4 linked regions of the Alligator mississippiensis genome follow. The protein of the gene in region 1 purifies or fractionates together with the protein of each later gene. This does not show direct contact. Links are inferred from orthologs where the notes say so. Each region holds a gene or a part of one and is shown in the gene's direction. Other genes may lie near its edges. The genes, in order: U2AF2, SRPK1, U2SURP and SRSF1.

Region 1 (7,720 bases):
CATGATGGGGCTGGCCCCCTGGCACCCCAAGCCTCTCCAGTGCCATGTGCCCCATTGCTGCCCCTGGCACTCTAGCATGATGGTCCCTGACACCTCCTACTGCCATGCAGTAGGACCTTTCTACCCCACTGCTTTCTCTACCAGCTGCAACCACTCCCTCTGAACTCCCACTGCCCTGCCCCCACCTGGCTGCCATTTGCCACCCACTTCAGGTGCTGAAAGGAAATGCCACTATAACCCTCCCCGCCCTGCCCCTCCCATCATCCTCATGGCATGTCTTTACCTTTACTTCTTCCCTGAATTTCTGTCCCAGGACGCACAGTGTAGGGACTCCAGTTCACGTCCTGCCCCTGTCCCTTCTCTGCTGGGTGGAGCACATTGAGGGAGCCAGGACTTCTGGGTTCTATTCTGGCTCATGAAAAGGAGTGGGGTCCAGTGGGTAAGAGCAGGTTGGTGAATGGAAGGACTCTTGGTTCTCCTTACCCACCCACCCCTCCTTGCTATGGCCTTGGGCCACTGTTGCTTCTCTTTGACCACACAGGACTCTCTACTGCCCCCAGCGATGAAGGAGCCTTCGGCAGAGCATGTGACTGGCAAAAGCATGGGGACCCCTGTAGCTTTTATGCATGATCCCACCACCCTCAACCTTAGTGGTTCACCTGCTGCTCCAGGTAGGAGCGTCCAGTTTAGGCAGGGTCAGCTTGTGTGCTCACTTTTTGAGCTGGGGTGTGTCCAGGCAGAAGTGTTGGGGAGGGGACTGTGGTTGGGGAGGAGATGGTTGAGGCTATAGGGAATCTGTTCTTTAGGTGACGGCTTCCATGAGGGCACTACCTGGCTCAGAGGGTGGGGAATGGGGTTAGGAGCCTTCTCTTCCAGGGAGAGTTGGCCCTTATCCAGCCTGGGGGAGATGGATGGACAAAGGCTGCTTAAGGGATGGGGGTAGGGCAGGGCCTGTCCCCTCTAGCCACATTGCTCCAGCTGGTCAGTTTCCTTTGGAGATGTCAGGCCAGGAGCCTTCTGACCCTGACCACAGTAGCCACAGCCCTTTTCCCAGTGAGGCCTCTTGAGTTTCCTGCCCTTCTACTGCCTGTTTTTCCAGCAGCACCAACAGCCTTGGTTGTCTGCTAGGTGGAGAGCACCAACCCCTGCAGGGAGCAGTGGTTCTTGTGTTTGCTGACCTGTCCGCACCCCCCAACCCAGGATCTCTCCCTACACCCTGCCTGGCCCCACTCCAGGGGCATTGTATTTAACTCCCTCTTCTCCTTGACTGGGCATGACCCCCCCCCCTTCCCCCAACAGCAGCGTAGAGCTGCCAAGTGTGTGCGTGTGCACATGTGTGCGTGTGCAAGGAGGTGTGTGAAGCCGCTTGGCAGACCACCCCTTTTTACTTGGTGTAACAGACTCTTTTCCACTGTGCCTGTTATTTCATGCCCTCTCTCTATGTTTAAAAAAAAGAAAGGAAAAAAACACTACAAAAATAATCAATTTATTAATAGAATTTAAATTAAAAAAATTTGGAATAAGCAAGGCTGAAGTCCCAATTCATTCCCAAAACAAAAGCCACAGCTGCGTCTGGGATGGGGTGTGTGAGCCAATTTGTATGGGAGCCCTTTGCTTGACCCTGAGATGGACCTGCTTCTGGGGTGAGGTGTGTTAGGGAATGGCTATACAAAGACCTCTCAACCAGCACTGAGATGCACCCTTTTCTGGTAGCTCCCACTGTCATCCCTTCCTACCCTCTCTTTGGATTGCCTATGTATTTCTACTTCCTCCCTTAATTTTTTTTCTGTCTTGAGAAAGTCAATGGCTGCAAGTCTTCCCTGTCCCATCTTAACTGTTAGACTTGACACACTGGGGGAGCCAGGGCTCCTGTGTTGTGTCTCAGTTTTGGGAGGGGAGTGGGATCAGTGTGGCTGGGAGTCGAGGCTCAGTAAGCTAAGCAGTAATGCGCACACAGCTGTCATTGCAGAGCCAGGCATGGCTCTCACCCTCATTCTCTGCAGATTATCCACCCAACAGTCCACATGAAAGCCCACCTTGCAGCCCCATCCCACTCTTGCTTAAGGCTTTGTGCATCATGCTTTATCAGCACGCAGGTGTAGTCAGAGGTGGACCCCTCGTGCTGTGTGTAGCACACCTTTGTTTTGGGTGGGCATGTATGTGCATGCACAGAGCCATTCCCTCATGCTACAACCATCGCGTGCTTACATGGGCGCAGTCCTCCCTGCCCCTGTAATGTACATATCCCAACATGAACACACGCTCCCTTACACTACAGCTACCCATGTGCTGCTGTTTCTGACAGAGGATGCACTACTGGCATTAGAAGGACATTCGAATCAAGACATGCTTAATCCTGAATTACACCCAGCCTCTCTACCTTGTGTTGCAAGTGGGTTCCATGTGTATATACAGCATATCCAGGAGCCATCAGCCACTGTATGGGGATCTGCATGTTTCTTGGATGATGGGTATGCACTTGGTGCTGGACAAACTCATATAAAAACATGACTGATGTCCCCTTCAGTAAAAGAAAAGTGGGGATTTGCTACCCCATGAAAAACGAAAGCTTAAGTGGGATAATGCAATACCTTTCATTGCAGGCAAAGCCACTGTGTATTACCTCCCACTTGCCATGGGCTAAGAGTGGAGGCAGGGGGCAGTGCTTCCTGGCCAAGCCCCAACCCACAACCACCTTCTATGCCTAAGGCCCCATGCTCCCTCTCCAGTGCCAGCAGGAAGAATTATTGCCTGTCAAGGGCAAGTATTATCCTAGCAGAGCAGACCATTCAGCAGCCAGCAGAAAAAGCTGTGGGAGTTGGAGCTAGACAAATCCTGAGGAAAGAGAGGCAATGATGTTGATGAGTCACCAGGGAAACCCACTGAGGGAAAGAAGCAGTGAATCACCCTGGGAACCAATCATGGGGAAGAGGTGGATTCTTCAAACCTTGCTGACTTTGCACCCATCTAGGAAAGGCTCAGCCAGGCACAAGACACTGGGCTCAGAGCATGGGATGTTGAATACTCAGGCCAGGGCCTCCATGAACCTGAAGCCTTTACCCCTCTCACCTCAGCAAAACCTCTCTCATCCCTAAGACAGTTGACTACACCCCACAGCATCCTCCTCACCTGCTTCAGTTGCTATGGATGTGTGGATCTTGCTAACCTGCAAGGGTTCAGAGGGCCCTTAGGTCACATGGTTACCCCATCAATGTCTGGCATTGCTGTTTGGGAAACAGGACAGACTTGCCCCCTACCCCATTGCTGACATGTTCTTCCCCTGCCCCACCATCGCATGTCTGGCCTTGGGGATGGCTGTTGCTCATGCAACTACAGCCCTCCAGGGATGGGGGAAAAAAGGAGATAGCAACTTGGTTTTAGGCCTGGCAGGTTTTAGGCCCAGATCTTCCTATCACTGACAACTGCATCCTGCAAACCTGGGCATAAACCCATCAGACCCTACCCAAAAGCTAGCTTTGTTTCCCTCCTGTTGTGAAGCTGCATCCGTTTGTTAGCAATCTTCTCCTGACGTTGCCTTCAGTTATCCATGGCCATCCCTCTTTTCTGTGCCAGTAGACTCCTGTATGTTAATCAGCTGTCCTCTGAGTATTTTGGCCCCATGTTGTATTTGCAGAACACCATTCAATACCTGCAATGCAATCCATGAGGGCTCTTGCACAGGACACAGACAAATGGAAGGGGGGGCATGAGGCAGGATAAGTGTGTCACCCTGGGGATCAGGAAACCTTCTTGAGGTGACTGATAAAGGGCCCTTGAGACAAAATTGTGTGTCATTATTGGAAGGGAGCTGCTGTTTCCAGGTCTTGTGGTTTGGGGAGAACAGCTACGGAGCTGGGTCCTCTGGCACATCCAGGCAGATATGCACCAAGAAAAGCACATTAAAAAATCTGATTTTTAAAATGGATTGGGTGATATGAAGAAAGTAGGGTGGCTTGTTGATTCTGGAGGTGCTGTGGCCAACCCCCCTGCCACGCTTCCTTGTTCTGCTGGCTGAGATTTGGGCTTGGTGATTTTTAGCACATTTTTCAGCAGAGAAGAGCAGTACTGTGGGGAAGGCCCCGCACTTCACTGGTGCTGCCACCTCCCCGCAGCGGGGAGCCTGCCCTGTGGCAGTAACAAGCCCTGCTGCTTTCCGCGCAGGACAGATCACAGCTGAGCCACGCGTCCCGCGGCCAAGAGCGGGTTCCCCCCCGTGCCAGGCAGGGACTGATTTACATGAGCGGCCGTGGCGGTCCGGGAGCCGGCGGGGCGGATAGGCCCCGGCACACGACAGCCTACAGGGCGGGTGCTGTTTCCCTGCCGCGCTGGGCCAGGCCTGGGCGGGCGCCCTTCGGAGGGCTATGGGTGCAGGGTGCCGGCGCGGACTAGCGGCTGGCGAACACGAGGACCGGGGCTGGAGCGGCTCCAGGCCCCAGCAACGGCCTATAGCGTAGTACGTCACCGCGGGGCGGTAGGCTGTCCCGCCCCCCGACCCGGAAGTGGTTTCTCTTGAGCCAGCCACCGCCCCTGCTCCGCGTTGCTTTCATTCTCCTCGCGCGAGGCGCGAGCGGGGGCGGAAGGGGCCGAGCGCTGCCGGGGAGGTTCCGGAAAGTGCCGAGGCTGCGCCGGGCCGGCTGGGAGCCGAGCGGGTTTCCGGGAGGAGCCGAAGCGGGGCCGGAAATCGCCGAGCGTTGCCCGAGGGCGCCCGAGCGGAGCCGGGGGCAGCCGAGCGCGCGGCGGAGGTTGCCGAGCCAGAGGGGAAGGCGCCGCCGCGGCCTGCAGGACGAGCTGGGCCAAGCGAGCGGAGCGGGCCGAGTCGGAGCACACCGCGCCGGGGCCGAGCGTAGCGGAGCACACTTGGGGCCGGGCCGGGCCGCCATGTCCGACTTCGACGAGTTCGAGCGGCAGCTCAACGAGAACAAGCAAGGTGCGGCCGCCGCGCAGGGCCGGGCCGGAACCCTGCTCCCCCTGGCCGCGGGCTGCCCCACTCCCTCGCGCTCCCAGCCCGAGGCCTCGTTACGCAGGATCCCCCTCCCCCGCTGCGCGGGGCCGCCCCCCGAGGCCGGGCCGGAGCGGGGCGCACGTGGCCGGGCCGCGGCAGCCGCTGGGGCGCGGGGCGGCTTTGTTTCCCACCCGTGCTGCGCGGTCCCGGGCACCGGGCCTGGCCGCGTGGAGCCCGCGCTCCGGCCCCGTTGCGCCTGCGGGCCCTGGGGCGGCCCCACGCGGCAGCGGCCGGACGGCGGGCTCGGCGCCTCGCGGCCCCGCGCTGTCAGCGCCGGGGAGCGGCGTGCGGCCCGACCCCTGCCGTGCCGCCACGCGGGGTGCGAAGCTGCCTGGCTCGCTAGGCCGCGGCCCTCAAGTTTTCCCCTGGGGAGGACAAGGCAGTAAAGATAAATGCTCACCCCTTGCCAGGTGAGGCTGGGAAGGCAGCAGGTGACCCGGGCTCCCTCCCAGCTCTGCGGGGGAGCGGAGTCATGTCCGTCTCCTCCCCTCCCCTCCCCAGTACTAGATCCCTGGGTGGGCTCTTAAAATCCTAGATAAAAGTGACTGGAAGGGATCTGCTGAGGCTGCCTTGTACCCCCCACCCCCCATGTGGCCTAGCCATTGCAGGGTGGGCGGCAGGGGCAACCTTTGTACCCAGGCACTACCTGTGGCGCATCCTGACCCGCTGAGCTATGTGCAGATCTGTGCTGAGGCAGGGCTGCTTGTAGGGGCTTCCTTCTACCACCGAGGACTGTATTGATCCAGAGCTGGGCTACTTTCTGTGCTAGAGGAGGTAGTGTTGTGTTGGAAGCCCCAGGCAGCCAGCTGCTTGTATCCAAGCCACGGGTCCTGCTGGGATGGGTTGTGTTGGGCATCTTTCCCCAGATCTCTCAGACCAGTTCTCAAGAAGCAGTGGCAGGACAGCCCTTGTGTAGCAGCACAGGCTGGGGGGCACAGCTGCCACACTGGGTCTCCCTCTGTCTGCCTGGGTAGAAGTGCAAGCATGAGAGGGAGCCAGGACTCCTGGGTCCTGTCCCTGGTTCTGAGTTGTGAAGTTTAGACTTCCCATGCCCCAGGACAGTGTTCATGCACACATCATGCTGCCTCCCGAGCATATGCAGTGTTGCTCTTGGTGGTGCAGATGGCTGTTGCCTGGCTGCCTCAGCACAGGAAGGACTTTACATGGTTACACCAGAGGAGTAGAGTAGGGGTGTGAGCAGCAACAGAGGATAGCAGCTGAGGGAGGGGCTGCCAGGGTGGGAGGCGAGATGAAGGTTTTGCCTTCAGGTGAAGGGAGGAGAAGGCTTTCCCAGTTGTGCCCTGGCACAGTTGGAGGGGTCTTGATTTCACCCCATCCCTCCTAGCCTGCTGTCCTAAACTAAGATTAGCAGCTGTAACACATGGAGGACCAGTTCCTAGCCTGCACTGCTCCTTCATGTGGAGTTCTACATACTGGGAGCTGGAGACCTTACCAGTGGTGTGGACCATAGTACACTAGGAGACATGGCCCCTCACAGGTTGTGCTATATATGTAGGTTGGCTTGAGGGCAGTGATTGTGTGTTGCTGTGTGGTCCCTAACTCCACTCCCTGTTCCGAAACCCCTGTGCTAACCCTACCTCTTTCCCCACAGAACGTGACAAAGAGAACCGCCACCGTAAGCGCAGTCATAGCCGCTCCCGGAGCCGTGACCGCAAGCGCCGCAGCCGCAGCAGAGACAGGCGCAACAGAGACCAACGCAGCGTCTCACGGGACCGTCGGCGACGCAGGTACATGTGGGTGGGGGCTGTATGGTCCCTTCCTGGGAGACCCCTCCCTGCCCTGGACAGGTCTCCCTCCTACACTAGCCTGCAGACCTCACCTATGGCTCATTTGGGCATAACTCGCTCCACCCTGAGGGGTTGCTGCATGCTGGGGCTGCCTTGGAAGAGCTGTGTCTCTGAGCAAGGCCTTATGGTTAAAGCAGAGGCTAGGGGCTAGGATTCCTGGGTCCTATCCCTTGCTATGTGAAAGGAGTATGACAAAAGATGTGGAAGTGTGTGTGTGGGTGGGGTAGGAGGGTGGGGGACCCATAGGGGCTAGTCTTGCTTGTGCTGCTTATAAAGCAAGTCCTTCCACCTCTGTGCTTCAATTTCCTTCCCTGTAAAACGGGGTTCTTTTGCCCTCTGGAGAGTCAGGTGATTGTGCCTTTGCTGCTGGTTTGCCCTAGGACCTGCTGTCAGTGGGCAGGGAGAGGATAAGCCACTTTACCTCTCTGCAAAGGTAGGAGGATGTGATTTAGCCAGTCTCTCCCTAGCCCCCAGGAATATAGGTGTTGGGCTCCTCACTGCAGCACCACTGAAACAGTCTGGGAGATGTTGGCACTGTCTCTGTGTGTTACTGGGCATGGGGCAGTACCTCCGTGCCATCCTTTTTAGTGTTGGTGGGGGATTCTGAGAACCAGCTCTTCCTTAATTCATCTGGAGGAATGAATTAGTGGGGGAAAGGGAAATGGAAATGGATCTTGGACCCCAGTTCAAAGGGACAGCTCAGATTGTTATCATAGAGCAGAGTGCATCTTCCAAAGTTGTGCCAAGCTGAGTCAAAACCTGGATCAGCCAGACTGGTCTGGTTAAAAGTCGCTTTGCTTGGTGATGAATTGAGTATTGCTGTTTTGGTGCCTACCTTGTCCCATTGGCCCATGGAGTCTCTCTGGGTAGACAGGGCCAGGGACCCAGATGTCAAAACTGAATCCCTAAA
Region 2 (7,513 bases), on another chromosome or scaffold:
CTCCAGTTGTTCTTGTAACAGAGCCAAAAACTCGGCCTCCCTTGGTTCCAGCACTTCTAGGTATATGCCGTCTGGGGAACAGTAGATGACACAGCCCAATTTACACAACAAATCCTTTTCCAAAAGATTTACAGGGGTAGAGGGGCTAAGCAAAAAGGCATGTGTCTCAGAAATGGGACCGATAGAGACAGAAAGGGGGTTGGAAACAGGGTGGGGTATAGGGTGTCCGCTAATGCCAACAGCATTAACAATTTTTTTCAGAAAGAAGTATGTTAGAGAAATCAGAGGCTTTTAAAGTGTAGAGGGAAGCTCCTGTGTCTACCAGGCAAGATATAATCCTGCCGTTTACAGAACAATTAAGAAAAGGACTAGATTGGTCAAGTGAAATAAGTGGGGCAATGATGTCATCCTTCAGGCTGTCCTATGCTTGGGTAGGGAAAGGAGGAGAATAACCTGAAGGGGGAGCTGACAGGCTTGGTTTGTTTTCTGATTCAGATGGGGCCGGATTTTCAGCTAAGGCTGGATTGATACAAAAGTCTAATACGTCTTCCAGAGGTTCAGTTAGTGGGGGTACCCCTTTCAGTATTGGGTATAATGGACTGCAGTTTGAATTTAGGGGAGCGGCCAATTTCTCCTGTGTTTCCTTCAATTGTTGTTTAAAATTTTTTCCTGTGAGTCTTTCAGGCTCTTGGTCTGAGACTCAGTGCGTCTTTTTGACATCTCTTCATACCAATCGAAAAATACGTTCCACTGGCATTGAGGAGTTTTGGATTCACGGGACTCTAACGTCCCTTTTAAGTGCACTATTTTTTCTAGATTGAATGTGCCTTCCTCAGGGAACTGCTTGGAAGGATCATCCCTGGTATACCAGTACTATTTATCCAGGTACTTGCAAGTCTCGGGAGAATAATGTGTGTACATATAGTACGCCGGAGTTCCCTTAGAGGGGACTGGCACTTGCTTTGACTGTCCTGTACCCATTTCACAATCACACAGGGAAAGACAAGACAAGGGAATGGCTTATTAAGGAAGTCCGTGCCGATCCGAACTTCAGCCTGCAATGCTGCCGAGGTGAGTTCTGGATTTGGCAACGGCTCATAAACAGACCGTTTATCTACACAGTAGAATAAGGGTGGGGGAACAACAAAAGGAGTCTGCTAAAGTCACAGAAACCTGCTTGTAGGCCCATCTGTTGACTGAGGCTACATACCTTTTCGTAGCCCCGTCTGATGACTGAGGCTACATACCTTCAGGCAGCTGATCTATAGCGGCTCATGAATGGAGGGGGGGAACACAAGACACAGAGCAAAACAAGAGGGTGAGGGACCAGTGAAAAGTTCACTGGGGAGGAAGAAAGGGTTGATTTTGTCTCTCAACCTTGGCTCCCAGTGACTATTCTTTCACCACGCACCCTTGCATTCGAGTTGCGCCGGTCATCGTCCAAACCGGGCTCACGTACGTCTCGGGGCGGCTGCACGTGGTTTCAGAATTTGCCCTGGACCAATTCCAAATCACCATTCAATCAGGGTCACAATCTTATTTCCATTACCCACTCAGACTTCCTAAAGCCCAGTGTTGTGCTGGATGCAAGTGCTTGTGCAACAGATTCTCCCTACCACTTATGCGCGCTTTCCAGAGACAGACAGAATTTTACCGGATTAGTGTGACCGGTCTTGGTTCTACACTGACCTGTAACAAAGGTTCAAATCCAGCTACCCAACATGAGCAGGGAGCCTATGAGCAGTCCTCCTCCGACACCCCAACAGAGATTTAAAAGGCCTCTTACCTTTATTGGTGGTGCTGGGGTTCGATGGGGAATGGCTCACGGTCCTCCGAACACATCGTTGGCTGTGGATCCGAGTCACGGCACCATTTAATTGTCGTGGAAAAAACACGCTGTAGAATTTGGAATCAGGTCAGGTGGAAACTTTATTTCGATAACTATCGGAAAGAGACCGTTAAAGGGAAGATTCCCCCTGGCTCTCTGCCTTACAGCAAGGGCAATTAACCTTTTATAGATTCAAGACAAAGGGTTTCCTAAACTAGCTTTTCCCACCTTAGGGCTATCTGTTTTGTGTCCTTCAAGACAGCTTTAGTGGTCATCTTCCTCTTATCTAAGGAATTTCTCTCTCTCCCCCCATGAGGCCTCAGCCATTCTTTGCTTCCACATGGGTATCCACACACCCTCCTCACCAGGCTAGCCCAGGTGGGGGGGGGGAGTGCCAGTTTAGTCGCTGACAACCATACCAGGGAACAGGCTGTACTGGTTTACATGGTACCAGATAGCCAACCAAGAGAGACCTGGCCTAACAGGGAACAAGCAACAGGTTACAAAAATCTTATAACCATATTCCACCCATACCACAGCATAGCCAAAGATGCTCATACAGGATCTCAGAGGAGTATATAACAACCATTACTAAATCCAGAAAATGTATTCAGCACTAAAAACTGAAATTCCTAAATAGCTCAGTGGCTGATTAATACCTAGAGCCAAAGTGGACCTTTGCCCATTACAACCATCAACATGGCTTGACCATTCAGCCCCCTGGGACTCTAATAGCTGTACCAGTAGGTGCCTTGATCTGTTCAAGGAACAAAGTGATAAATCACCTCAAACTATAATTTATTCACAAAACTGAGGAAATGATTTCTATTTCTTTAGGAGGTAAAACACTGGGTACTCTTGACTAGACCATAGGCTAAATCATAAATTATAACAATTGACATGAAATTCAATTGCATAATTTGCAATCCAGAAATTTTAAAATTCTATCACTCTATGCTGCAGTCAGTAGGTAAGTTTGTGATTCAAGTCAGCATTTACTAGTTTTAATCTAGCTGGCTTGGATAACAAATTTATCAGTGAAAGTGTGAGAAAACAGGCTTCAGGATGGGCCAACCTGGCCAGGAACCAGGGGTCACTACTTGGGAGACTAGCCTCTTCTGAGAGTTTTGCTACCATGTCTTCACTGCTATTGCTACTCAGACTAGCTACATTATCAATTGTGGTGCAGAGACACTTGCTCTATTGACCTGTGAGCATGCTTTTGCTTTAAATTAAGGTGATACTGTCAGAACAAAAATCATAATTCCCTTTGCGGTGATGACAATGTGGAGCTTGTATGCTCCCTGGTGCCAGGGAACAGGCGCAATCTGCAGCTTGCATGCTCTGGGCAGGGACATGCAGGCAGTGGCTGTGCCCCAGCTCCTTGCAGCAGGGACAGCGTGGTCCGGAGACAGTGGCACACTCCTGCCTGGCGCATGCAGATTGCCCCAGCTCCAAACCACTGTCACCACAAGGTCCCAACCCAGCTGTGGAGCAGCTCCACACCCTGCTGCGTGCCCTGCCAGCAGGGGCCACACTAGGGAGGGACTTGGGGGCTATAGCCACGCCAAACTTCCCCGTAGCCCCCTTTGGGTTGGGGGTTTGTTTGTTTCTGTGAGGCCTGGCAACACTGTTCTCAACCTGTTTGCCTTCATAGGCCACACTTGCAGCTCTCAACATGTTCTTAGATTCAGACGGGAGAGTTGTATGGGCTGCACCCACACAACTCGCTTCCTGTACCTCCAATTAAAAAATGCTTTAACAGGATGTTACATGGGCTGCAGCAGCACATGCGCAGAGAACCACTGCCCCAAGCTGGTGCCCTGCCCTGCCCTCTGCCCTCGCTGAGCACCTCTCTGGCTCCTGAGGCCAAGGCCCCTCTAGACTCATCCCAAAGGGACCCCCAGGAGCCAGGTGTGGGGAGCAGAGGCAGCCAGGCAGGATCCAGCTGAGGCTGGCTCAGTGTTGCCAACTCTGATGATTTTTGGCATTCTTAAAAGAGTGAAAAACGTAGCTCTTTCCTATATATGTGTGTATGTATTTATGTGTGCATATGTACATATGTGTGTATGTATATATATATAATATACATATGCATTTATAGATATGTGTGTATATATGTATGTGAATGTGTATATATATATATATATATATATAAAAAGAAAGCTAAATTTAAGCCTAGCTACAGACACCGCCCGTTCCCGCGCTGCAGCCCGCGCCCGCGTCCACCCCCGCGAACACGTGGGCCCCTCCCTCCCTGACGTCACAAGGGCGCCCGGCTCCCGCGCGCGTTGCGTGGCGCCTGCGCAGTCCCCGCCCCCAGCGCGGCTTCCCCGGCTCCGACCGCGCATGCGCCGCGCCCCATGGAGCCCAGGGAGGCGGGAGCCGTTCCGCGGTCGCCCCGCCCTCCCCCCGCGAGGGGGCGTGGCCGCACGCGCTCGGCCGAGCCCGAGGGCGGGGCGTCCCTCAGCAGCCCCAGGTCGAGCAGCGGCAGCGCCGAGCCCGAGCCCGCGTGGTGGCGCGCGCAGCGCCGCGCCAAGGTGCCCCGAGCGCGCATGCTCCGTCCGGCGCGGCCCGGCCCCGCGCAGGCGCAGGGGGAGGGCGCAGAGCGCCGGCGCGAGGGGCCGTGGCTACCGGCTCTAGCCGCCATGGAGCGGAAAGGTGAGCGCCGCCCCCCCCTCCCCACAGCCCCCGCGGCCCGGCTCCCCTCCCCCCGCCCTCACCCCCACTCCCGTCTGTCTCTCCCCGCAGTGCTGGCGCTGCAGGCCCGGAAGAAGCGGACCAAGGCCAAGAAGGACAAGGCCCAGAGGAAGTGAGTGTCCCCGGCCGCACGTGCCTCCGCGCCCCCCGGGGGGTGAGGGGGGCCCGCGGGTTGCCACCTCCTGCCAGCGCCGGGGTGGGGGGCTTTGCTTGGGGCCCGCTGTGCCTGCCATCCCCGCGCTGCGCCCGCCTGTCGTGGGCCCGCCTGGCCGCCGCGTCCCCGTGGGTGCGGTGTGGCCCAGCTCCCTGTCGCGGCCTCTCCCCCGGCTCGGGGTTTGCCAGCGGTAAGGTGAGAAGATGGATCCTAGCTTGCGCTCAGCCGCTCTTTCTGCACTAAATTTTTCTGCTCTGCTCCTCTCCGCCCCCGTTATCTCTTTTATTAAGTTCAAAGGGTGTCCGAAATAAAATCTAGCCAGCTTTACGGTGGATGGTCCCACCTATGGAGAGCAGCGCTTGTCCAACCCGTTAGTCTGCGGTTCAAAAAGAATAAAAAATGAATAACTGATTCGTCTGATTTGCTGCAGAATAACGTTCGCTCTCCGTTAATAGGTCAGAGCCGCTGGCGAGGGTCTGGTGGTTTTGGCTATAGACTTAATACATTTCGTAGACATGAGGGGCTGGAAGGGACCTCGAGAGAGTGTCGGGTCCAGCCCCCCTGCAGGGGCAGGAAGTCTGCAGGGATCAAATTTGCCAGTCTTGAGGGGAGTTCGCAAAGTGGACGGCACAAAACGGCTGGAGGGCCGTGGAGGTGTAATGCATCTGGAAGAATGTACTGCTTTCTAAAGCTCTTTGTGGACATACCGCAAAGGTTTTGTTATAAGGTAGTATTCCTCTGTCTTTATTTCTGAATGAAGAGTCAGATCGGGGCGCATAGCTGGGATTTCTGTGTATTTGCCTGGCTTTTCGGTCAACTGCATGGGGAATAATCTCAACTCCAGTATTTATGAATGTAGTCCAGGACTTCTGTTTGTAAAGACTACAGTCCATGCGAGTCATAAAGCTTTTATACAGTGACTTAAAGCTGGTGGCTCTGTAAAAATCCCTTCTAACGAACTAGCTAGAGGAGGGCATTGGCGGTCAACATTGTTTAGCTGTTTGCTATTTTCAGGTGTGTCACTGACTGCTGTATGACTTCTGGCAAGTCCCTTCATCTCCAGGCTACTGATGCTCAATCTGGTCCTGATGTTCACCTGCCTCACAGGCATGTTTAAAAACGTTTTAAAGTTACATATTTCTTTAACTCTGTTTCTAGCGTTTCTGAAAAATTGGTGAAAGATTTTGTGTTCATTCTCGTTCCACCTTTGGCTGCCAAGAGAGTGTGGTCAGTTTTGCTTTCTGCTGCTTAGACAGTAGCATTGTACAATGTGTTATTTAAATATAAACTTGTTCTAGTTATTCTTCTAAACTTAAGTTTATTGGAACTTTGAAATAATTTTTTGATACAACCAGAATTGTCTGAAGTGCCCTTTCAAACGTCTTGTTGTGATCCTTGATCCTTTGATAAAAGGCTGTATATAAGTGCAAAGTAATTAATTTTGAGTAATTGGGGAAATTTTGTCAGTATTGAAACAAGATTCGTTATGATAAATGTATAACTACAGAACATGTTTCAGATGGCTGTTCAGTACCCAACTCAGTGCAGTTAGTTTAAAAAAGAATGAGTTAATGTTTTATTTTCAGATCTACAGCAGCTTTTTAGTCCTGCACTTGATCTTGCGATGCAGTAGGTGTTTATTACTATTTAAAATTGTTTTTTCTTGTTGCCCTGTGAACGGCTTTCAAAAACAAGTTGAAACTCACTGTATAGGGAGACCCAATGAAACTGATGGTGGATAAAGAGGATGAAAAATAAGACAACTTTCATCTTTCAGTTATAGTAATCTTAAGTGCTGCTTATGGGAATAGGGTGTATTTTAAGAAAACTTTAAGCATTGTGACTCAAGTTGCCAAGCCAATAAGCCAACTTAGTTAAAACTAAATATTAATTGTAAAAGCAAGGGCATTGATATTGTCTTTACGGACAGATTTAAATAGCTTTCTTCTGTGTCCCGCCCCCCCCCCCCGCCCCCCCCCATGTCCGACAAATTCCTGTTTGTGACATAAGCAGTGGGGGGGGGCAGGGAGAGTGCTTATCTGAAGGTAATCTGCTGTTGAAAGAGGAATGGCAAGGACTCTGCTGTATGGAGGTGAAGCACCTGTACCTGCCTTCATTCCCTAATATCTGGAAAAGTGGTCTTTCTCTTTGTGGGTAGATGGAGAAGATTCATAGATTACATATAGAGTCGAAAGGGACCTTGGAGGATCATAGTGTCCAACCCCCTGCCCCAGGCAGGAAAAGGACCGAGGTCAGAAGACAACATGCTAGTCAGTTAAGTGCTGAGCTGTGGTCAGCTTGGAAAATTGCATTATTGGAGGCTACCAGAAGGCAGGGGCACTGTATTAAAAACTCTAAACACTTAAATGAGTACATTTTAAAGCAGATGAGCAAACCAAATGTTCTCTTGGTATTTCCTTAATTGTGAGAGCAAATAAAAAAAATACTGCTCTTTAAATGTTAAAAGAACAGTAAGCACCTGGCATGCAGACTGCTGCAGTGCATGTTGTTGCCAGAAGATAATGCAATACAGTATTTTTCTTTTTTTTTTTTTCTTTTTTACTCTAGGTGGATAGCATGGAGGATTCCTCCAACAAGTATATCCCAAATGATGATAAATGAGTTTAAAAATTTCAAGAGTGGTATTATTAATCTTAAGCGATTTGGCTTTGTGGAGAATCTTATTTTTAGAACGTGATCTTAACAAGAATCTTACAATTCAGAAATTCATAATGGCTCTGCAGATGTTTCTAATAAGGGCTCAGAATGTATTCTGTGTTTTCACATGGGAGTATAGGGAGGGGAGCTACAAATCTTATTTGTTTATACAA
Region 3 (7,901 bases), on another chromosome or scaffold:
ATGAAACTGGATGCTTATCTTGCTGGGATCCTATGACCCCAGCTGACTTCTTGCCCTTTGGGCAGGGGACTGGACTCGATGATCTTCCGAGGTCCCTTCCAGCCCTAATGTCTATGAAATCTATGAAACAGACAGGGGCTCTTGCTTTGACGTTCAATTACCTACTGATTCATCCATACCCGCATTCACTCAGGGGACCAGCCCAATACAGCAATACAATTCCAGTTATTACAATTCCAGTGCATTCTTATAATAATAATTTTAGTAATACAAGGTATGACTTACTCTAAAGAATACATTTGTTAAAAGTTAAAAGGTAGAAAATATAAAATACAAAATGCCAGGGCAAAGATGAGACATGAAATATAAAAATGTACTGTGAGAAATATAGAAAAATGCAAGATGAGGTAGCGAGGATCAACGGCCACTGGGGTTAGATGCACTCATGCAGACTGATTTAGCATAAAACTTTAGACAGATATGGGAAGTTTGCTTTGGGAAATAGGTCTTAATCAAAGGAAAAATGTGTTTACCAGGATATATTTACAGTCATGCTTTCAGTGCACCTTGGCTTTTCTTGTCTCTTACAGGCTTTGCTTTGAAGTGGATATTTTAGTTCTTTTGTTTTCTTTAGTGACACAGCTCAACTGATACATAGATGTAGTCTGTAGGTTTCTCCTACAGAAAGCCACTTCAGCTTTCTGGCTTGCTCGGAGCCTTGCCACACCCATGCAATGAATGTGCTAGGTCTCTGCCAATACTTAGAAGGAAAAAGAAATGCACAAAAAGGGAAAGAGGGTGCAGGCAAGAAGGGGCTTCTGTTATATCAATGCCCAGAAGGGTAGTGTACAAAGGGGGCTCCCTGTTACAAGGCTTTTAATTTACTATCTGCAATTTTGCTGTCGTCTTATTTTCCAATCATAGAAAATATACCTGTTAATAATTTTACACAATTTGATATTTTAATAATAATTATCTATGGAAATGCCATTTGTTAACAGTTGACTTTTACTGGAGGTAGAGGAAAATCTTCATTTAATCCATATAAATGGAGGGAAAGGGCAAAAGTAATGCATGTGTATTAATTTGGGGTTGGAGAGGGACTGAGAAAGGAGGAGAATGGAGCAGAGAATACATTTGAAAGTCAATCTGAAAGGTTCTTTCAGGTCAGAAACATAGCAGCTTTTTTCTGGTTACAAGGTCACATGGGGATGATGCAAGTAACAGTCTCCAAAATGTAGTGGTAGAGAACCTATGGCAGTAGCTTCCAAAGGTTGCCTACCCTCTATACTGTTGACGTCAGTCTTCTCAAAATCTTGTCATCCTTGAACTTTGTCTGACTGCCCTCATCCATAATACAATGTTAACACCCATCACAGGCCATACCATAATTAACAATAAATCCTTTGGCATAACGGTCCTGGCAATACATTACAGGCTTCCCACCTCTGCCTTCAGGAAGGGGCACTACTTTTGGCTCACATTTAATTTTATCCTTACATATTAGAACACAGTATATCAAGAAAACACCTAATGATGATGATGATGTAAGTGTAACCATCTCTATTGACTTAAATAGGACTTAAAAATGTGATTCAGTTTTTTACTGAGCTGGGGTTTATATCATGAAGAGCAGTTAGTAACCGTCTAAACCCGTGGCTCCTCCTGCTGCAGCGGCTGGGGCCTTCGATGCCTGTATGGGGCGTTTGAACCTCGGCAGGCCCCGGCTGAGGAGGGGGGGAGCTTGTTGCTTCTCCCCCTGCCACACACACATCATGTTGGGGGTGCGGGATGTGTACGGGCTGCCTGGGGTCAGCCAGGCCCCGTGGAAGGGCTCCTGGAGATGAGGAGCTTCCTCTTCTAGCCGCAGATCTCGCCATGTCTTGGCTTGGCTGAGTGCTCGGTTTCTGCAGAGCCTTGTAGGGCCTCATTTAAAGATCTCTTTTTTTCCCCCCCAAACTTGTCGATTATGTGGCTGCAGCTCTCACCAGCACTGGGCTGGAAACTGCTCCTCGGTTTTGTGCTGCATTGTCACTCTGCTGTCTGTGATGGTTCTTTTCCCAGGGAAGCCTAACTTAAATGTTCTTTATTTCCATGAGAGAGAGAGAGACTGTTGTGGAGCCGCAAGGATTAGACCTAATTCTGTATGGAGGTGGCTGGGCAGTACCTCTCCCCATCTTCCAGATCTTCCAGGCTTATAGCTTATACCCAAAGGGTATGTGGCCAAGCAGGGGGTACAGGAGACTCGCCCTTGCTGGGTTATGCCTGCTTTCCCTGCCCCATCCAAGGAAAACACTTAAAAGGTAGCAGTGCTGCAGAAGTGGTCTGCCCAGCTCCCCTCGCAGCCTGGGGCCATGGGAGGAATGCGACGTGGGCACCTGTGGGGGCTTTCTATACCCAAAGGGTAATTAGCCTCCAGTGCAATGTGGAGTAGTAATCTGATATGTTGTCACTAGCACACCTCCTTCAGATGTTGGGCTATGTTCTTCATAAGGTGAAGATTTTTAGCAGCCTTTTTAGTCAACCCCAGAAAGATCCCCAGAGCAGTTATTTAAACTAGAGGTAATAAAGGCATTCATGCAATGTCTCTCCCTCACCTTCTTTGTTTATTCTGGGACTCTCTCATTTCCCTTTTGCTCAGTCCTCTCCTTTCTGTTTATTCTATCCTTTACAATCATCTCAATTTGCTTCCATTTTTCCTCCTACTTTTTGAACCCATATGGTCTTTTTTACCCACTCATGGCACCACCTACCTGATTTTCTTTCCACACTTTCCTATAGATTTCTCTCCTAAATCTCTTGTTGCATCTGGCTTTCAAAAAAGTACTTCCAGAATTCTCATGTCATGTTCCAGCCTCAGCTCAGTGTCCTACATCCATTCTGACAGCATTCTGACTCACTGGGGATCTCACCTCACAGTGCTATACGTATTATAGGCAGAAAGAGCTGCTAAGTGCCAGTTTCAGGAAACAGTACCCCGTCTCAAAGCAATTATGTCAAGCTAGTTTGGGGACCCACATGGAAACCAGCTCCCAGCACTGGAAACTAAATCAGGAAGGAATCTATCAGTTGGTAAAAGTCCTACAGTATAACTTACTGCCTTTCTTTAGTTTGTAACACCACTACCAGCACCAGAAGCCTATACTCCTGGGGCCTGATCCTCTAGTCTTGTATGCTAGTACCAAAATTATAGCATTACTCCTCCAATATATAAGTATATAAATATATAAAGCCTCATATCTGGGGACCCACAGTGATTCTAATGTATGATGTAGCCTGTGCTGAAAGGCCAACCAATAGATTCAGCAACTATTCAGATCCACTGGTCAGTATCTAATGTGTCCAGGGAGCATCCTGAGAGCTGCCACTGTAGATCATAGTTCTGCTGGGACTGTATTATTACTCTGTGGTCTACAATGATGTTTCAGTTCCTTGCAGTGATTTATACAAAGTTATTTTATTTGCAAGGTGCTTAGATTTGGTCCTTACTTGATGTAGTATATGGCATAAGTGTCACAAGGTGGAGATCTCAGTGGGGAAGCAGTCTCATATTACTGTCTATAGAGTCTTATACTGTCTATACTGTCTCATAATTCTTTGTTTGGGTGACAAAGAAAAAAATTGCCATCAATAATCCATCAGTATAGGATTCCTTTTGCCTCTGGTGCCAAATCAGCACCACAGCTGACTTTCCCTTCTAGGAGGCATGTTTTTGCCATAGAGGAACATCAGAATACTGATCTGGTAGCAGAGCTGTGGCCTCTCTGGATTTAACCCTCATGTAATTCTATAGCAAAAGAACTGTTCCAGAGCAGAACACTCTTAAATTAAGATTCAGCCTGGAGGTTTTATAAAGAAATTAAAAAGCTTTGAAATGAGACAGGCCAGGACTATAAAACAAAGCTGGAGCTAAGAATGGGAACAAGGCAGCTACGACAGCCTGACCTGCCTAGCTCTGTTGATGAAGCATTACAAAAAAACCCCATGGTTGAGATCTGACAGACTGCTTAAAAAAAAAAAATCCTTAAATTGCAGACCTGGGCATGTTGCCCAGGATCCCTGGCTTGGGATCCCTCATGGTTTGGGAGCAGAGATGCCCACAGAGCAGCTCAAAGGCCCCCCAGGTGCCCACGTCACATTCCTCCCGTGGCCCCGGGCTGGGAGGGGAGCTGGGCAGGCCGCTTCTGCAGCACTGCTGCCTTTTAAGTGTTTTCCTTGGATGTGACAGTCGCACCTGCTGTGGTAAACTAGATGTATGGTGCAGGGAAAGCAGGTGCTTAACCCCAGCCCTGGGGGGCAAGTCTCCTGTACCCGCTGCTGGGCCACATCTCTTGAGCCCTGGACCCTGCCAGCTGGGGGGGGAGGTGGGGAAACACGGGGACTCCCTCATGCACAGTGCCAGATGAACCCTTTTGCAGTCCCTGGGCAAACAAACTCATGGACCCTACTTAATACGGTATATGTATATTATTTATTTATATTATATTTATACTGTATAAATGTTTTTTTCCCACTCAATAATTATAATATGTAAAATGATCACAACTGGGCCGCTTCTTAGGGCCCTAGGCATGTGCCTAGTTTGCCTATGCGTTACCGCGGGGCTGCGAAAGGAGCAGCGCCCTACAGAACCGCAGAGCCTGCGGCCGCCGGGCGTGACAGGGCCGCAGCGCCGGCCCCGCCTCCCCGATCGCTAGCTCGGTCATCGGCTCGCCGCCCCTCCCCCCAGGCGGGAGGCTTCCTCGCTCTCCTCTTCAATCGGTGAAGTCGGCGCTCGATTCCGGCCGCCAGGGCTGGCCGAGGGAGAGAGCCAAGATGGCGGACAGGGCGCCAGGCGGTTCGCAGAAAGGCAGCGGGAAGGTGAGGCCGCCCTCAGGGGCGCGCACGCGGCACCGTCGCTCGGGGCCCGCGGCAGGGGGTGGGCCGGGCCGGGCCGGGCCGTGGTAGTGGCAAGTGCCGGCCGGAGCAAGCATGGCGCGGGGAGGCGGGTGCGCAGGCTGCGCGGCCTGCTCTGGCCCCCTTCCCCGGCCCTGCTGCTGCCGGGCGCGCCGGGGCCTACTGGAGGCCGGTGCCCGCGGCTCTTCCCGCTGCAGCGGCTGGGGCCTTCGATGCCCGTGTGGGGCGTTTGAACCTCGGCAGGCCCCGGCTGAGGAGGGGGGGGAGCTTGTCGCTTCTCCCCCCGCCACTCACGCGTCGTGCTGGGAGCGCGCGGCGCGCACGGGCTGCCCGGGGTTGGCCGGGCCCTGTGGAAGGGCTCTTGGAGACGAGGAGCCTCCTCTTCTAGCCGCAGATCTCGCCATGCCTTGGCTTGGCTGAGTGCTCGGTCTCTGCAGAGCCTTGTAGGGCTTCATTTAAAGATCTCTTCCCCCCCAAACTCGTCAATTATGTGTCTGCAGCTCTGGCCAGCACTGGGCTGGAAACTGCTCCTCGGTTTTGTGCTGCATTGTCACTCTGCTCTCTGTGATGGTTCTTTTCCCAGGGAAGCCTAACTTAAATGTTCTTTATTTCCATGAGAGAGAGAGACTGTTGTGGAGCCGCAAGGATTAGACCTAGTTCTGTATGGAGGTGGCTGGGCAGTACCTCTCCCCATCTTCCAGATCTTCCAGTCTTATGGTTCCAGGGGTCGTTTTTTTCCCTGGCTCCTTCAGTTAGCCCGAGTTGTACAGCAGTGTCTGCACAGATCCTGTTCCCCTGTGGTGCTCTGTTACATCTGCAGGGTTGATGCTGCAGCCTTTTCAGCTACAGCTCTAGGAATGCTTGGAGTTGATATTTTTGTGGTAGAAAGAACCACTATCTTATTGTAAATATTATGTCTTCAGCACTGCAAACACTTATGCAGGTTCTTAACTTGATTCATATATGGAGCCCCATTTCCCATTTTGGAAATATTTATACCTGCCTAGGGATAATTTTGTGACTGAGAGCTTTAAACCAGTAGTTACTTGAGATGAATATTCCTAATTTGGTTTCCTTTTTATACCTGGCTGAAGGCAAGCCTCAATTGTGCTGTATGTATGAGATTAGATAAGGATGATCAAGAGCATAGAGAAGTTTTGTTTTTTTTAATAAGCAAAGATTAAATGTGCTTGCACTTTTCAGCGTAGACAAAAGATGACTGAGTGGATATGATAAAGGTTCATAAAATAAAATGAGTGGCATGAAGGAAGTAAATAAGGATATATTCATGAGTGGATTGGGTGGGGGAAGGAGTACAGTCACATCCCCATTTGATTCCTGATCCACTGAAAGTTTAAAACAAACTGCCTGGTAGGGACAGCTGAATTTCTATTCAGGTAGAGTGAGAGAGTCTATAGATTTCATAGCTTATTATTATCTACTTGATTTCTGCCAATCTTTAGTCCCTTGACCCATTTAGTATCCACAGTGTACGGCAGGGGTGGGAAAATGTGGCCCACCTGGCCATTCTATCTGGACCGAGGGGGCCCCTGAAAAAATTAGAAAATTAATATTTATCTGCCCCTGGCTGCCTGTCATACAGCCCTTGGTGGTTTGCCAATACTCAGTAAGCGGCCGTCCGCCTGAAATAATTGCCCACTCCCTGGTGTAGGGTATACTGTATTCATAGGAGCAGTGAGGGGATTGAGTAGCATAGGCCTCTGTGGGGCATGAGGGGGGATTGTGGGATCTGATGGTTTTGGGGTTTGATAGGATGGGGCTGAATATGGAAATATGTGGGATAATGGGGGACAGAGTAGAGGCAGGGGGAATTTGAGGTGGCAGGTGGAGCATATAAAGGGCAGTGTGGGACACTTTGGGGCCATGGTGGAGTGTCTGGGGGACTTGTGTAGGAGTACAGGGAGGAGTTCCATTTGATCAGAGTGTAACAGGTATACCTACTACCCAGCACCAGATGCCTGCCCAATTTGGATCTGGTAGTCAGCCCCTCAGTGATTCAGTTGCATTTGTTTTTACTTGGAAATTGGAAAAAAATATATGCTGTTTTATGGGATGATGTACCATATCACTTGCACTCTCCCTGCCCCCCCCCCCCCCCTTCAAAATCTGAGATCCACCCACGGATGTATTATTTATAGAGGTGCACCAATACATCGATCCCGTATTGGATCAGCACTGATATAAAGAAAATTGAGTGTATCGGAAATTGGCCTGATGAGGCCAATAATTTGGCTGATAAATGCCCATACATGCATGTAGCCACAGCGCAGCCTGGCAGCATGGAGAGCTGTGTGCAGCTGTTAAGTCTGTTGTGGTGCAAGGGGAGGGGAGGGAAGGGGCATAGGGGTGCAGATCAGTGGCCCCTGCAGTGAGGGAGGGAGTGGGGCTGGGGCAAGTGCTGCAGTGTGGGTGTGGGACGGAGCTGCGGCTCGTCCGGGGCTTGAGTGGGGGGGGGTGGCTCCTGTCATTGCGTGCACCCCAGGAGGGTGGGGGGGAGTGCGTGCCCCCAGATCTGCATGGGGTGTGGGTGGGTTGGGCTGCAGCTGCAGGCTGGGGCCAGGACTGCACTGGGTTCTTCCCTTTGAGGAGGGGTGGGGGTTGGACCAGGGTTGTGCTTGGGGTGGGTGGTGGTGGCACTGGGAGGGTGCTGTGGTGAATTTTGGGAGGGATACAGCCCCCGCATAATGCTCTTCCCAGCGCTGCTGCTGCTTCCTGCCCCAAATGCAGCCCTGGCCCCAGCCTGAAGCTGCAGCCCACCCCGCCTGTGCAGATCTGAGGGCACATGCCCCTCCTGTCCACTCCCAGGGTGTGCACAGCGGTGGGAGCCACTCCTCTCTGCGCCGTCCGGATGAGCTGTGGCTCCATCCTGTGCTTGCCCTGCCCTGGCTGGATTGCCCAGCCCTATTCTTCCTCACCACAGGGGCATTGATCTGCATCCCCCCTCCCCCCCCCCCCCCCCCCCAATGCCCCTTCCTCCCTCCCTC
Region 4 (7,141 bases), on another chromosome or scaffold:
GGATTCTATGAATCATAGAATCATAGAAGTAGGGTCAGAAGGGACCTTGTAGATCTTCAAGTCTGACCCCCTGCCTGGGCAGGAGGAAAACTGGGCTCAAATGACCCCAGCCAGGTAGGCATCAAGCCTCTTCTTAAAGACCCCCAGGGTAGGAGCCAGGACCACCTCCCTTGGAAGTTGGTTCCAGATCCTAGCCGCCCTGTGAAGTAGTTCTTACGGATGTCTAATCTATACCTACTCTCCAACAACTTGTGGCCATTATTCCTTGTTCTCCTGGGGGGCACTAGGGGAAACAAGGTCTCCCCCAAACCCTTCTGGTCCCCCCTAGTGAGTTTATAGACGGTCACCAGGTCCCCCCCCAGCCTTCTCTTGTGAAGGCTGAACAGGTTCAGGTCCCGTAGCCTCTCATTGTAGGGTCTGCCCTGCTGTCCCCGGATCATGCGGGTGGCCCTCCTCTGGACCCTCTCAATGTTGTCCACATCCCTCTTGAAGTGGGGTGCCCAGAACTGGACACAGTACTCAAGCTGTGGCCTGACCAGTGTCGCGTAGAGGGGGAGGATCACTTCCTGGGCCCTACCTGAGATGCACGATAAGGTCCGGTTAGCCCTGCCAACCGTGACCTTGCATTGTCGGCCCATGTTCATCTTGGAGTCAATAATGACTCCAAGATCCCTTTCTGCCTCCGTGCTCTCAAGAAGGGAGTTTCCCATCTCATAAGTGTGCTGCTGGTTACTACTGCCCAAGTGCAGCACCCTGCACTTGTCCGTATTGAAACGCATCCTGTTTTTGTTAGCTCAACCCTGCAACCTATCCAGGTCTTGCTGCAGTCTTTCCCTCCCTACTAGCGTGCCCACCTCACCCCAAATTTTCGTATCATCAACAAATTTAAACAGGTTGCTTTTCACCCCGTCATCCAAATCACTGATAAAGACATTGAACAGTGCAGGCCCAAGGACCGAGCCCTGGGGGACCACACTGCCTACTTCCCCCCAGGTTGAATATGACCCATCCACCACCACCCTCTGAGTATGACCCTTCAGCCAATTTGCAATCCATCTGACTGTGTAGGCATCAATGCCACAGTTGCCTAGTTTTTTAATGAGGATGGGGTGGTCGACAGTGTCAAAGGCCTTGCTGAAGTCCAGAAAGACTACATCCACGGTGACACCTGCATCCAGTGCTTTTGTGACCTGATCGTAAAAGGCAATCAGGTTGGTCTGACATGACCTGCCCCTAATGAAACCGTGCTGGTTGCCCTTGAGCATCATCCCCAATGCCGGCCCATCACAGATGTGCTCCTTGATGATCTTCTCAAAGAGTTTCCCCAGGATTGAGGTAAGACTGATGGGCCTATAGTTGCCTGGGTCCTCCCTCCTCCCTTTTTTAAAGATGGGGACCACATTGGCTATCTTCCAATCATCTGGCACCTGGTCTGAGCACCACGAGTACTCGTAAAGCCGTGCCAAGGGCCCTGCAATAACCCTTGCTAGCTCCCTCAACACCCTGGGGTGGACAGCATCTGGACCTGCTGATTTGAACACGTGACTATACTGATTAAAAATCAAAAAGGTATCCTAAGTCAAATACTTAGATGGATAGGAAAGCTGTGTGCAAACCAAACCCAAGTCCCTCTGGCACACAAGTCATGTCTACACTAACTTTGCCCACTCTAGGCACCCCAGACCCCAAAGTGCAGCCATGTAGCTGCCTTGAAGCCAAGCTAAGAGCATGCCCAGCACCTCCTCAGGCTCCCTGTCTCAGGGATGCTTACTCAGGCACTGTTGTAGGATGGGATTTGGTGCGTGCCTAATGGAAAGGGCATGCTTCGTAGCTGATTACCCAGGCCCAACACAGAGGATGGGTAGATATGCCCTCAGGAACTCAAGTTCTACTGACTTCAGGAACTAAGACCCACATGTTGGTCAGTCGGGTGCCTAATTACCCTTGATGACCTGTGCCTAACTGCTAAACTTACTTCTGAAAATTAGTCTTGGGTTCTTAATGCATGATCCAGGCTCTTTTCTAAATTCCCCTTTTACGTTCAGAAGCATTTGTATTCAGGTCCACCGTTAAAAACCAGGGAGGGAATGACACACCAGAAAAATATACTAAAATGTATGCAAAAACCATCATCCAAATATCCACAAGCTGTACGATATATATTTTTTGCTTCTTCCCATTTCCTTCCCAATCTTTTCTCCCTTCCCCACAATTCCTTATGGAGCTTTCACATTATGCACCAACCTGACATGGTAAAAGATGCGTATAACAGCACACATGGCACATAATGAATGCAGAATGGAAGATGTCCCTTAAGAGAAACAGACCTTGTCAATATATTGGCGACTGCAATTAAATAGGCATTTAAAAAAAATAAATTGCTGGGACCAAATCAGGTGCCTTGAAAAGCTCTTGCAGAAATAAGGGACGTAAAAATAAAGGTCCCTCGGCTCTCCTAAACAATCAAGCAAACCTGTGTCTAGTTAGGAACGGATGAGCGCATCACATAAATTGTATAGTTTGCTTTTCATTGACTTAGGTGTCAGTTCCCTGTCAGGCTGATAGTTTAAGATGGAGTGACTGTATTGGCATGTAGATAAAGACAGGCAGCTTGGAAAGATACTTCCCTTAGATATACCATTTCCCCCATTTTGATCTAACCAAAATGTAGTGAACGCTTACGCTGGGAAAGAAGCTGAACAGACACTGCTCAAACCAGGAATAGGAGTACAGCTACTCCTTGCTTAACGTCGTAGTTACGTTCTTGACAAATGCGACTTTACATGAAACCATGTTAAGTGAATCCAGTTACGTCACAGTAGCTACCTACTAGCAGGTGGCAGCTGAATAACATTATAACCGAACATTGCACCACTTCAAACGAGTACGTTCTCTAACAGAGCAGCGATGTAATAACGAAACTACATTAACTGGGAAGACGTTAATTGAGGAGCACCTGTATAAGCAGCGCTATGAAATGTACACTTTGGTTTCTGCAGTAACCAGTCACCTAGAGACAGATCATTCTGCTCATTACCCCTCTTATTTCAGAGGGAAATTTACCTTCCTCTGCAAAAGAAACTCAGCGGTGAAGGGGGTGGCAAGCGGCAACCACCAGCAGCATCAGCAGCGCTTTTTGCAGGGGGTGCACCGCCGATCTCCGGGGGTGCGCGTGCCCCCGCGTGCCCCCCATGTGTCGCCAGTGAGCAGGGCACGAAAGGCACGGTGCGGCGGTCGAGATGGGTTTAGGAGAGCAAGGAAACCAGCACCCCAAGGCAACGAGCAGGGTGCACAAGGCACGGACGCGGTGCTGGAAATCGGCAGGGATCCCCTTCCCCTGCACAAATTTAATCTGGGAGGTTTCCAGAGCACCAACATGCTTGCATATATCTATTATTTGACTCCCATTATTTGACCCCCTGCCTTAGGAACTGGGAATAAGCAACCAACTTCAGCCTCATGGCAATGCAACAGGATTGCTGGCTTGGGCAGACTTCTCTCATGCCCAGAGCCGCTGCTGGATGTGGGGTCAGGAGGGAAATGCACCCCTTGCTCAGACTGAGGGGGGAACGTGGAGGCTGTTGCTTATCCCTGCCCCTCCCCCAGGCTCCCTTAGGGCACATAAAGCAGCCAGGCCCCCGCGCGGTGCATTGTGGGCCACGCCCCTCCTTGGCGCCAAGCTCCCCCGCCCTTTGCCCGCGCGTTGCATTATGGGCCCCCCTCCCCTCGGAGCTGAGCCGGATCTTCTTCACCGGGCCTCCTCACCGGATGTGACGGCTTCCGCCTCGCGAAGGGGCAAAGGAGTGCTTTTCACGCCCCAAAGGCCGGCTCTAGGCCGCACAATCCGCGGCGCGCGGCGCTCCGCCGAGCTCCACGGTAGCATTTGTCTAGGCGAAGCAATTGAAGGCAGGGACTACTTTCCCTGCAGGCGGCGCATGCGCGGTGCGAGCGGAGCGACACCGCGACGCAGTCCGAACGGGGTGAAGGAGTGCTTCGACCGGCGGCGGGATCCTTGCGCGCAGCAACACCGCGAGGGAGCGGCGGGCGCCATTTTGCAGCCGTGTTTGCAGCCGTCGCGCGCTCGCTCCTCTCGTCCGCTCCGTGCCCGGCGCTCGCCCGCTCGCTACCTTTTCTCTCTCTCTCTGCGCTCCGGCCCGCGCCCGCCGCAGCCATTGCTGACCTTGCCATGTCCGGAGGCGGCGTGATCCGCGGCCCCGCCGGTAACAACGACTGCCGCATTTACGTGGGCAACCTGCCGCCCGACATCCGCACCAAGGACATCGAGGACGTCTTTTACAAGTATGGCGCCATCCGCGACATCGACCTCAAGAACCGCCGCGGCGGCCCGCCCTTCGCCTTCGTCGAGTTCGAGGACCCGCGGTGAGGGCCGGGACCGCCCCCCCCCGCTATACCGCCCCCCCCTGCACGTGGCCTGGGACCCCCCCTACATGGTGCCTGGGACCCCCTCACAACCCCCCCCCCACGTGGTGCTTCGGACCCCCTTACTAAATTGTGCCCCTCCCCCCTGCATGGGGGCTGTTTCTGCCTGGACCCCCCCCAACCATGAGGTTGTTCCTGTTTTATTGCCCCCCCCCCAGGCATGGGGGGAGTTCTCACTTTGTTGCCCCCCCCCCAAGCATGGGGATGTTGCCATTTGCCCCCCCCCCCAATTGGGGCGTGGCCGGCGGGAAAGCAGTGTGGGGGGGGAACAAAGGGCGGGGGCGCGGCTGGGCAGGCCCCGCTCACCCCGCCCCGCTTCGCAGGGACGCGGAGGACGCGGTGTACGGACGGGACGGGTACGATTACGACGGGTATCGCCTGCGCGTGGAGTTCCCGCGGAGCGGCCGAGGCACCGGCAGAGGCGGTGGTGGCGGCGGAGGAGGCGGAGCCCCGCGGGGCAGGTACGGGCCCCCGTCCCGGCGCTCCGAGTACAGAGTCATCGTCTCGGGTAAGATCCCGCCCGTTCCCCGGCGGCCGTACGAGGGCGGGGCGAGGGGCGGCTTTCCCCCCGGGGACGCTGTTGAGCCACGCGGGATTGCGTTCCCCCGAGGAGCTTCGTTACGCAGCCCTCGCTTATTATTTATAGCACTCGAAAGCCTCCCCCGGGGGGTAATTTATTCAAATCACCTAGGCACCTGCTGTGCCCGGCCGCACGTAACGGCGCGGCTGGGTCATAAACAACCCCGTGGACGTCCCGGGTAATTTGCGACCTGTTTTTGTTCAGGACTGCCTCCAAGTGGGAGTTGGCAGGATTTGAAGGATCACATGCGTGAAGCAGGTGATGTATGTTATGCTGATGTTTTCCGAGATGGCACTGGTGTCGTGGAGTTTGTGCGGAAAGAAGATATGACCTACGCGGTGCGAAAACTGGATAACACTAAGTTTAGATCTCATGAGGTAGGTTCCCTGCTTATTTTGGGGCCAGAATTGGATACACAGGGCTTAACAATGGGAGCTGAAGGTAAGGAAGTGAAGGCTCAACTGTGTCAGCTGGCGCCCATAGAAAAAATGGAGTCTGATGTGGTTTATTGTAAGGCAGTCCTCGTTAGCACAAGAGAAACAGAGCAGCTTTTATTTAAAAGACTGTGTCTTACTTAATGTACTCAGCATGCCTGAAAAGACAGCTGAAAAGCTTAGACCCTTCAATCGAAAGTTGTGTCTATTTAATAGGGAGAAACTGCCTACATCCGTGTTAAAGTTGATGGCCCAAGAAGCCCAAGCTATGGAAGATCTCGGTCACGCAGCCGTAGTCGTAGCAGGAGCCGTAGTCGAAGCAACAGCAGAAGCCGCAGTTATTCCCCAAGAAGAAGCAGAGGATCTCCACGCTACTCTCCCCGTCACAGCAGATCTCGTTCTCGTACATAAATGACCATTAGCTATGATCTTTTTGTAGAACCCATGTTGTACACAATTTTCTTTACTCAGTACAGTCTTTTCATTTTTTTTTTTTAATTCAGACTGTTTTATTCAAATTGGCTAAAGTGTTGAATTGCATTCTTGTGTAAAATCCCTAGTGAGTATTTGCTCCTTAACATCAACATTCCCCCCTCATGTCTTTGGTAAATTGTATTTTAATTGATGTCATAGTCAGGATTGTTTAAATTTAGTTCTAGTAAATACCCACACTCTTCAGACTGTGGTATTGCTGTGTAAATGTCTCAGTGTTCAGCTATGGTTTATACGAGCTGGGGATGTTGGGATGTTTGTGGCTAACTTGTCTCTTCTGGGGGATCTTATATTTTACCTTGCCTTTTCATGTGTCTTTCTGTAGACATATCTGAAGAGATGGATTAAGAATGCTTTGGATTAAAGGATTGTGGAGCACATGTCAATCATTTTAGGATTGTCAAAAGGAGGATTGAGGAGGATCAGATCAATAATGGAGGCAATGGTATGACTCCAAGTGCTATTGTCACAGATGAAATTGGCAGTATTGACCTTATACTGAATGACAATGGTTAATTGAGTACTTACATCTACTTGTAACTTTTTCAGGCATGTTTTAGTTATTGTAGACTACAATTGCTCTGTTCCTTAAAACCCTGTTAGCAATTGTGGCAAAAACTACTTGCTTTTGTAACTTTATTCCATTTTACTTTTTTTAAAAGAACTTCCGGGGGTGGGCGTAGCGGTTCACTTTGTCATGCAGCATTTGGTTACAAGTGTTAACGTTGCGTAGTGTTTGTACACTTTGTAGATTCAGGGTATCTTCAAATCAGAGTATAATATCAATACTGCTAAAATCTGCATGTCCTCTGTGTGACTGATATAGCGTTGCTACTTCATTTTTTTTTTTAAGTATCAGAATGAAAGCAAAAATGAAACTAGTTGGGAAGAATTCCTTAAATCTCAACCCTTCCCCTTCAGACTAATGCACAATTGACTCACTGATATGTTTTGAAAGCAGTTAATTTTGTTACCCTCCAGATGGGAGTACTAGCTTTAGTTTAGACATACAGTAGGTGGATAGCTTTAGCAGTCAACTTTTCCAATTTCATAAACATTTTTTTTTACAACCACAAAACCTGTAATTCACCATGCAAGCAATGACTTATGTTGGCGCTACCAGTTAACATATGTAAATATTACAGTATTTCCTCCAAATAATTAACATTTCTAAAATTTTATCTGAACATCACCA

Evidence for each region.
Region 2: the proteins of U2AF2 (region 1) and SRPK1 purify together in Homo sapiens (affinity purification with mass spectrometry; 3 studies listed by BioGRID and IntAct, counting the BioPlex papers as one, with this or other methods). This does not show direct contact. The link is inferred for Alligator mississippiensis from reciprocal best matches to the Homo sapiens genes U2AF2 and SRPK1.
Region 3: the proteins of U2AF2 (region 1) and U2SURP purify together in Homo sapiens (affinity purification with mass spectrometry; 3 studies listed by BioGRID and IntAct, counting the BioPlex papers as one, with this or other methods). This does not show direct contact. The link is inferred for Alligator mississippiensis from reciprocal best matches to the Homo sapiens genes U2AF2 and U2SURP.
Region 4: the proteins of U2AF2 (region 1) and SRSF1 purify together in Homo sapiens (affinity purification with mass spectrometry; 4 studies listed by BioGRID and IntAct, counting the BioPlex papers as one, with this or other methods). This does not show direct contact. The link is inferred for Alligator mississippiensis from reciprocal best matches to the Homo sapiens genes U2AF2 and SRSF1.

The regions. Positions count from the first base shown.
Region 1 is NC_081828.1:75,066,077-75,073,796, forward strand, and holds the start of U2AF2 (splicing factor U2AF 65 kDa subunit), read left to right. Parts: upstream 1-4,610; 5' UTR 4,611-4,878; coding exon 4,879-4,927; intron 4,928-6,614; coding exon 6,615-6,750; intron 6,751-7,720. Other genes in the region: CCDC106 (coiled-coil domain-containing protein 106), read left to right, coding at 542-790. UniProt on the Homo sapiens protein: Plays a role in pre-mRNA splicing and 3'-end processing. By recruiting PRPF19 and the PRP19C/Prp19 complex/NTC/Nineteen complex to the RNA polymerase II C-terminal domain (CTD), and thereby pre-mRNA, may couple transcription to splicing.
Region 2 is NC_081837.1:36,208,748-36,216,260, forward strand, and holds the start of SRPK1 (SRSF protein kinase 1), read left to right. Parts: upstream 1-4,380; 5' UTR 4,381-4,383; coding exon 4,384-4,489; intron 4,490-4,579; coding exon 4,580-4,640; intron 4,641-5,696; coding exon 5,697-5,789; intron 5,790-7,513. UniProt on the Homo sapiens protein: Serine/arginine-rich protein-specific kinase which specifically phosphorylates its substrates at serine residues located in regions rich in arginine/serine dipeptides, known as RS domains and is involved in the phosphorylation of SR splicing factors and the regulation of splicing.
Region 3 is NC_081830.1:56,731,584-56,739,484, forward strand, and holds the start of U2SURP (U2 snRNP-associated SURP motif-containing protein), read left to right. Parts: upstream 1-4,763; 5' UTR 4,764-4,815; coding exon 4,816-4,860; intron 4,861-7,901.
Region 4 is NC_081837.1:6,054,270-6,061,410, forward strand, and holds the start of SRSF1 (serine/arginine-rich splicing factor 1), read left to right. Parts: upstream 1-4,063; 5' UTR 4,064-4,186; coding exon 4,187-4,380; intron 4,381-4,763; coding exon 4,764-4,948; intron 4,949-5,224; coding exon 5,225-5,397; intron 5,398-5,670; coding exon 5,671-5,865; 3' UTR 5,866-7,141. UniProt on the Homo sapiens protein: Plays a role in preventing exon skipping, ensuring the accuracy of splicing and regulating alternative splicing.